Linked DNA regions of Coturnix japonica. The protein of the gene in region 2 purifies or fractionates together with the protein of the main gene of each other region. This does not show direct contact. Links are inferred from orthologs where the notes say so. Each region holds a gene or a part of one and is shown on either strand. Other genes may lie near its edges.

Evidence for each region.
Region 1: the proteins of TMPO (region 2) and CANX purify together in Homo sapiens (affinity purification with mass spectrometry; 3 studies listed by BioGRID and IntAct, with this or other methods). This does not show direct contact. The link is inferred for Coturnix japonica from reciprocal best matches to the Homo sapiens genes TMPO and CANX.

What each region holds. Positions count from the first base shown.
Region 1 is NC_029528.1:4,541,342-4,545,162, forward strand, and holds part of CANX (calnexin), read left to right. Parts: intron 1-944; 5' UTR 945-947; coding exon 948-1,130; intron 1,131-1,587; coding exon 1,588-1,661; intron 1,662-2,046; coding exon 2,047-2,105; intron 2,106-2,447; coding exon 2,448-2,589; intron 2,590-3,821. UniProt on the Homo sapiens protein: Calcium-binding protein that interacts with newly synthesized monoglucosylated glycoproteins in the endoplasmic reticulum. It may act in assisting protein assembly and/or in the retention within the ER of unassembled protein subunits.
Region 2 is NC_029516.1:42,484,916-42,488,736, reverse strand, and holds part of TMPO (thymopoietin), read right to left. Parts: intron 1,632-3,821; coding exon 1,512-1,631; intron 1,413-1,511; coding exon 1,317-1,412; intron 765-1,316; coding exon 654-764; intron 1-653. UniProt on the Homo sapiens protein: May help direct the assembly of the nuclear lamina and thereby help maintain the structural organization of the nuclear envelope. Possible receptor for attachment of lamin filaments to the inner nuclear membrane.

The DNA.
Region 1 (3,821 bases), on a different chromosome or scaffold from region 2:
ATCGCATGTCTGTCTGTAGCGCTGATAAAATGATGAGCAGCCTGGTAGGAGTTTTGCTTTCTACATCCACCTAAAGGTTCAGTGATTGAGTCATTCTTTTTATGTCATTTTACTTACAGAGATCTTTTGAACTTGAGTTTCTCAAGGTCTGCTATGTTTTAGTTAGGATGACATGCTGGGCATCCCGTAAATTAATTGGTGTGACGTTTTAGTTCTATAAGATTTCTGTATTAGATTTTTTTTCTTTGATCATCCTGTTGAATTAGAGATGAAATTGACGGCCTGTTGAACAGTGGGATTTCTTCTGGGTCTGCTTCAGTATCCAGCTGCTCATAGATGCCTGCTGAACAGCATCAGTGACTGCTGGCAATCTGTCTAGAAGGAGGTGTGGGGAAGGGGACTGATGGATGAAGGTACTGATGTCCTGTGTATGAGAACAAGAAAATGACTGAACTGAGGTAGAAGATGGGTTGCTTTGTAGATGCTTGAAGGAGGTAGCTGGTATTTATGAACTGAATAGGAATACCAGTGTCAGCCTGTTGCCTTCAAAGTTTCTCACAAACAAGAAGTGGATTTTCCCATTCGGTTTTTCTAGATACGTAAGTTGTGTTGAAGACATGTCTGCTCTTTTCATGGGCTATGGCAGTGGAGGGACAATACTGGCACTCCAGCACAAACTGCAGAGCTTGTCTGTGTGCTGCTTCAGTGCATTAACATCTGTTTTGTATTAAATACACCTTTCAGTTGTATACCTTTCCCATTTTCTCACCTGTCTTAACCAGCCAGAAGCAATAAATAGTAGAGCAGAGAAAGCTACGTTTGTACCTCTTTCAGTGATGTGACTTGACACCTCACCCACTGCCAGAGAAGCTCATTCTCTCAACTGAGAAGTAGTGTATTGCTAGTGTGTGTGCTTAACTTCTTTCTTTTTCGTATTTATTCAGATAATGGAGATGAAATGGCTGCTGCTTGTGACCCTTCTAGCTCTTGGGACTCTTGCTGCCCAGGAGCATGATGTGGGTGACGATGATGGTGATGATGTCATTGATATTGAGGATGACTTGGATGATGGTGTTGAGGAAGTAGAAGACTCAAATCCTGAAAGCAGCACTCCTCCTCCAGCTCCAAAGGTTTGGCATAGTTGTTCTTTAACATTTAATTACTTCTTGTGTTTTGGCTACTGTCAGTCTGATTAGAGTTGACTTTACTTTGCTGAAACTTAATGTATAGTGATGCTGTTAGAGATCACTAGCAGGGAGTAGGGTTTGGAATTTAGCTTAGCTGCTTCCTTGCTATTCTCATCTGACCTGCATCTTCTTTCGCGAAGACTTCAGTGAATATTTGAAAACTGAGGTGTAGTTATCAGGCATTAATGTTAAAGTTTCTAGCTAGACAAAATCTTCAGTTCTTGTTGCAGAGGAGAGCACAGTGGCTCAGCATAAGCAGCAGTGTAAACATTTCTGTATTTATGCTGCCAGAATGCTCTAGGTGCTTTATGGTATGGATGTGGGATGTGAGCTGTATGTGCCTCTACTTCTTTAGAGGATGTGCCTTGAAAGGTTCATAAATGCCTCTCTTCTCCCCTAGGTTACTTACAAAGCACCAGTCCCAACTGGCGAGGTCTATTTTGTAGAGTCCTTTGATAAAGGAACTCTGGATGGGTGAGTATAACATTAGGGGGCAACTGAACAGATGAAATCAGAGTATTATGTGAAAGGGAATTCCTAGTGCCTGTTACTGAAAATCAACAGGCAACACGTGACAAGATCAACCAGTTTTTGCTTAGGTACTAGTAATAATGGGAAGAGAAGCCCATATTTTATGTATGCTTTAATCTTTCTCATCTGACTTTGTGTACTTGCTTCAGATTCTGAGGCAGTGAGTGATCCTACATAAAGCTGAGAACTTGGCAGGTTTGGGATAGAGCTCAGGATCGAGACACTTGGGGTTTAGTCACAGGACAACAAAGGCTATTTTAAGAGCAGGGGTTTTTGTGTGCATAATGAAAAAGTATGAGTTTCTTACTGTTGGATGCTTGTTTTCTAGATGGATCCTTTCCAAAGCCAAGAAAGATGATACAGATGATGAAATTGCTAAGTATGATGGTGAGTCCTACCCATATTTTGACTGGTAGTTGTTTCTGATGTCATTTTGTCTTATATAAAGAAGAGGTGCAAGTCTGTTCTTCTTGCTCCCTGAAATTGTGTTCACTGAAGAAAATGGGAGAATGTGTACATGCTTAACAATATAAAGTGTGATCCTGATTCAGATAAGATTCAAACAAAATTTCCACTTAAAGGTTTTAAAATAATTTTTAGTGAAGATGTTAAGCCCAGTAACTTGAAGGCACCCTGTATGAAGATGGTGATGACTTTCTTGTTTAGGATTGGGCTAAGACAAGATTGTATCAAATGGGTTTTGATAATACTTTGTTAATTTTCGTCTAGGTAAATGGGAAGTCCAAGACATGAAGGACAGTAAGCTTCCAGGAGACAAAGGGCTTGTGTTGGTAACACGAGCCAAACATCATGCGATTTCATCCAAGCTTTCAAAGCCTTTTGTATTTGATACCAAGCCCCTTATTATACAGTAAGTAAAAGATAACTTAGTGTTCTGTGAGGGGTGTGATGTGGTAGTAGGCTTGGGTTTATTTTGTAACTGAGCTTTTGTTGGCTGGGGGGTCTAGATGACACAAGATAGACTGTAACCTCTCATTATACAATTTGAGTAGGAGTAAAATAGCAATCTTGATTCCTCAAGTGGGAAGTTAGGAACACAGTGGCCCCCACTGCAGCCTGACAAAAAAAGTAGTCTATGAGTTGGTAATTAGTCTCTGGACTTGAATTTCTCATTCACTAGCACAGAAATCTGTTGCCTGTTCTGTTAATTGTAAAAGTCCATGTCCACTTCACCAAGAGCTTGTCTGTATGTTTCTCACTGTGTTTATTCAGTGAAGTGTCCAGTTTCAAAGGTGGAGTGAGCAGAGTGTTAAGGGTGCACTTGTTTCCGCCTTCCTTTGTTCTGGTGCATCTGTTGTGGAAGATGAACAACTTGCCTAATTCTGTTGGGCCATGAGTGATGTAGAGGAATCTGCTTGCATGCATGTTAGACTAGTAAGCAGGAAAAGAATCTTTCAGTGACAACAGTTGAATTGTGGGATATTACCTATGTTACCAGTTATAAACAGCCAGTGATCCAGTTCATATTTGTACAAGATAATGAAATGGTCACTTTACTTTGTGTTACTGTTTAGTTTTGGCTCAAAATGCGTGGCTAAAAATAAGTTGAAGTGGTCATTCACTTCAGCTGCTGGCATTGAGAGAGGTTTGAGCATGCTTAGCCTATTCCTGACCGACATGCTTTGCCTTTTTCAGACTCCTTGGCATCTCTAAATATACTATTGTATGCTTGCAACCCTAAGGGGAGATCTTCTAGGATCCAACTGCTCACTTCAGTCATCTTGCAAATTGAGTTGTCTGTCTGCTGTAATGGTTGTGTGGAAAATAATTTGTTCCCCTTAATCTCCATTGCAGTCTCTTACATACTTGAAAAACCTTTTCTTCCCTCTACTTCTGGATCATAATCTTCTAGACTAATGCTCAATTCTTTTAATCTTTTCTGTCAGGTTAAGTCTTTTAAATCCTTGCTTCTTTTCTCAGGCCCCCTTGAACATCTGCTTAGTCTCTAGAGCGCAGCATGTGTTTTTAATGTTCACTTTTGATTTGAAACAAACAAAACCAAAATAGTATTGCTCTGCAATTTTCAAGTATAAATTCATTCATGTATTATGAAGGTAAATGTTGCTTGTGTATAATGTGTTC
Region 2 (3,821 bases):
CGTTAATACAAGTTTTACGTACAATGTCTACATGGATCAATTAACTCCATTTAAATTCAGCCAAGTATTATTTTGTAATGTAACATTCAACAGTAATCCAGTACTACATTAACAACTACAATCACATGCTCTCAAGTGCTTTTAGACATGTATCCAAATAATCTCAACAGCTTGAATAGGCTAACAGAGTATAAGAACAGTTTTCTTACTTGACAGCTAATAGAAACCTACAGTTGCTTTCTAAACTTTGACTTTGGATTTCAAGTAGTCCTACCACTGCAGTCCTTCAGTTGAGGCATTTCCCCGCCCAGGATATGCTGACTTAGCTAGATAATGCCACTCTTTGAACTATTCATGTAGTTTAAAAGAAAAAAGTACATTCTGTACAACATAAGATGAAATAATAGTCCAAAAGAGGATTATTTCCACCTTACAAAAACAAGGAAGGATAAGAAAAATAAAATAAAATAAAATAAAAATATGCATATATATATATACTCTTTTTGATGTCATATGACAACGCTAGTTTAGTTACAAGATCATGCCTCCTGGGCAACAAGACCCTCCACCCCTTCTATACTACAGAATAAATCCATACACATAAGAACCTTCTTCAAAGAAAGTAAGCAATAACAATCTAAGTTTTAATTTACTTCAGCTGTCATCAGTGGTTTCTTTGGTGTTCTTCTGGGCATGTCTGTGGGTTCACTTATTGACAATGTAGGAGCTGCATGCTTGAAATTTCCAGGCACCCTATTGCCAACCTGCCGAGATTCAAAATTGTTCAAACTCAGAATTAACCAAAACACAAAGTAAAATGGGGAAGGGAGACAAAACTAAGCAACATAACCCTTATCTGCATCAAATATGTGCATGTTAGTAATTCACTGAAAGTTATGTAACAGATACTCTGAAATAAGTAAAGGAAATACAATGCTTAGTCTAAATAGTTTATTTTAAGCCACTTAGAAACATAGAAGCTAATTAGTTCACAAGAAAAGCAAAGCTCTAAAGCAGATATTCTATATGTACTTAATTTAAGAAGAGATCTAAGCTTTTGAAGCAGATCTTCTCAGCCCTCCCCCCAAAAACATGAAACCATGTGTCTACCTAGTCCCATCTCAAAGTGAGCACCACTAGGCGCTAATATGCTATTGAACATATGGTTTCAAGACTACTGAATAAAAGAAGTCCTACTTTCTTTAAAAACAGCCTGTTTAAAACAATTCTGTCAGTAAAGACATATTATAAAAGGTATATTACAGAAAAAATACTACTTGTATTATTCATTAAATATATTTACTAAGCATATTTACTAGGCTCTCGTTGCTTGCAGTCAATATAGTTTCATCTATGGGAGTACTCTCTGACATAACAGCATCATCTACAGGCAACTGTACTGTAGCTTCCACCTGTTTGTTTAAAACAAAAGAAAACAGTTGAATAAAATAGCCACTGGGACCCTAATAGTGAAAAAAAATGCTTTTCTATTATAATAAGCCTCTCATCACCCTTTTCCTTGGTGTTCTTCTTGACACTCTTGTAGACTCCCTAGTAAATGCCTGAAGAGGTCCACTTTTTGAAGATCCACTTGTCCAGACAGTCTCAGTAACTCCATCTTGAGAATAAGTCTATTCAAGTATCAAACACATGATCAAATACATGAAAGCCAGTTCTCAACATTGGCTGCACACAACCAAAATAGCATATGTACTCCAGAACAAATATATCCAGAACTAAAAACAAAACAACCCCACACCAAAAACAAACAAAAGAAACCCAGCAACCTTAGATTCAGTAACATCCAACTAGCTACACAGGCACCGAAGACCTCAATACCTAGGTTAGAATTAACTGTTTTTTTAAATACTGAACCAACTAGATAATACCTAACAGTAAAAACTGATAACCTTCTCACTGTATGAAATAACCAATGCTTCAAGTAGTACTGCCAAATCAGACAGTGGATATGCTGACTTCTAGGCTTGTTACATTACATCCCTACAAAAAGAAGAAAACTTGTGATCACAAGCAGAATGCAACAACCTGCCCAACTCACAAACCTATTCTCTCCTGCAGAGAGTTCAGGCATAGACACCTGCACATCAACAAGATCTCATGTCCAGACAGAGGGAGATGTTTTTATAATCTTAGAAGTTTCCACAGTGATAAATGTCACTCACTTCTCCCTTAATTGTAGGTTAAAATGACCCAGCTTAAGACAGTTCATAGTAAACCCAAGTAATAGTGAAGTGTCAGACTTTCACAGCCAGTAGTAAATACACATCAATCCCCATAGCCTTACTGCAAGTTTTATGCTTAAATTAAAATCTTCCTCAAATCTAATTCCAAGCATAAATCTAGAAGGAAAGGGAGATGAGGGACATCCTGCTTCTTCTAAAATAGACCTAAGATTTTGTTTGTTTAATTAAGAACAATCAGAAAAATCCCTTGCTGATAACGAAGTCTATGTATCTCTTCCACTGGTGCATTATCAAACTTTTGAAAGCTATATTTGGTGTTGGCGGGAGTTAAACAGACCAGCACAGCAAATTAACTTCACTGGAAGAATTAGCCCACAAAACAATGTATTCAGAGAATAGGCTGAAGTGTACTTACCAAGGGGTAGAAAAGTACAACACCACCCTTCTCAGTTTCCCAACTGTATCTTTGAAGTTACTTTAGTGAAACTAGAAACTGAGCAGCTTTATAATTTTTAACTGAATTATTACAGCTACTACATAACCAGTAGAGGGAGCACAAGTGTTTTGCTATGCTTCAAAGTCACTGAGAGACTGATAACTGAACGATATATTTTTCGGAACAGATCTCAAGTCCAAATAGATTCAGATATTTCATACAGATCTATATATTTCAGCCTATGCCTCTGATACTCTTTCAAATTTAAACCGACTTTTGATTAAAGGTCTCCTTAGTCCCAATCTAGACATTCACTAGATACTAGCTTCTCACATCCCCCATTAAGAAAGGCCTAATCTGCAACATTCAGTCATGTCACTTACTATTTGAGGGTTCTTCCTCAGAAACTTTAGGGAAAAAAAATAGTAATCTCAGAGAAGTTCAACTCAAATTCAATTCAAGAATGCAACAAGACAAGCTCCAGAGGGAGCTCTCCATTATTAGTTTTACTAGGAACTTTTTTTTCCTAAAGAAATCTTCAGTAAATAAGAACCTATGTGCTGAGTTCCTCAGATGGTTGAAAGTTATGTCTTAAGTACCAGGGAAATCTTGCATGAAAAATACAGGAAATGACTGAGTGTACTGCATGAGTCCCATCCCAACTTCAGCAGAGCCTATTCCGTAGACCAGAATTGAACCACTAATAGACCACTAATTGAACAGGTGTCCTCTGCTTATCCCACAAATACCTGAAGTAAATAAACACCATTAAAGTGTAATATTCAGATTGTACCCTGGTATGCTGTCAGAAAAAGACACAATACTGTTTAGAAGTATCATTCAGAGAATGCATTCAACTGACACAGATAATGATATTACCTGAACTATCACTTGCGAACTAACAGTTCTATGCTTTTCACATGGCATACACACAATAGATGTATATGTCAGCAGCTACAACACATGTATTTGATAACCAGGAAGTCATTAGATTATAGAAAGAGTAAAGAAGAGTAGGGGAACACAGTATATCCAGAATGCCACTGCAGAAATGCCATAAGAGCAAGTAGTTCTGAGCTCTAAGGACTCCCTAGCATTCACATGGCTTAGTCCACCTCTTTCTCACCTAATATGTGGCCTTAAACTCACATTTTTGACCTCTAACTCTATATCCACCTTCC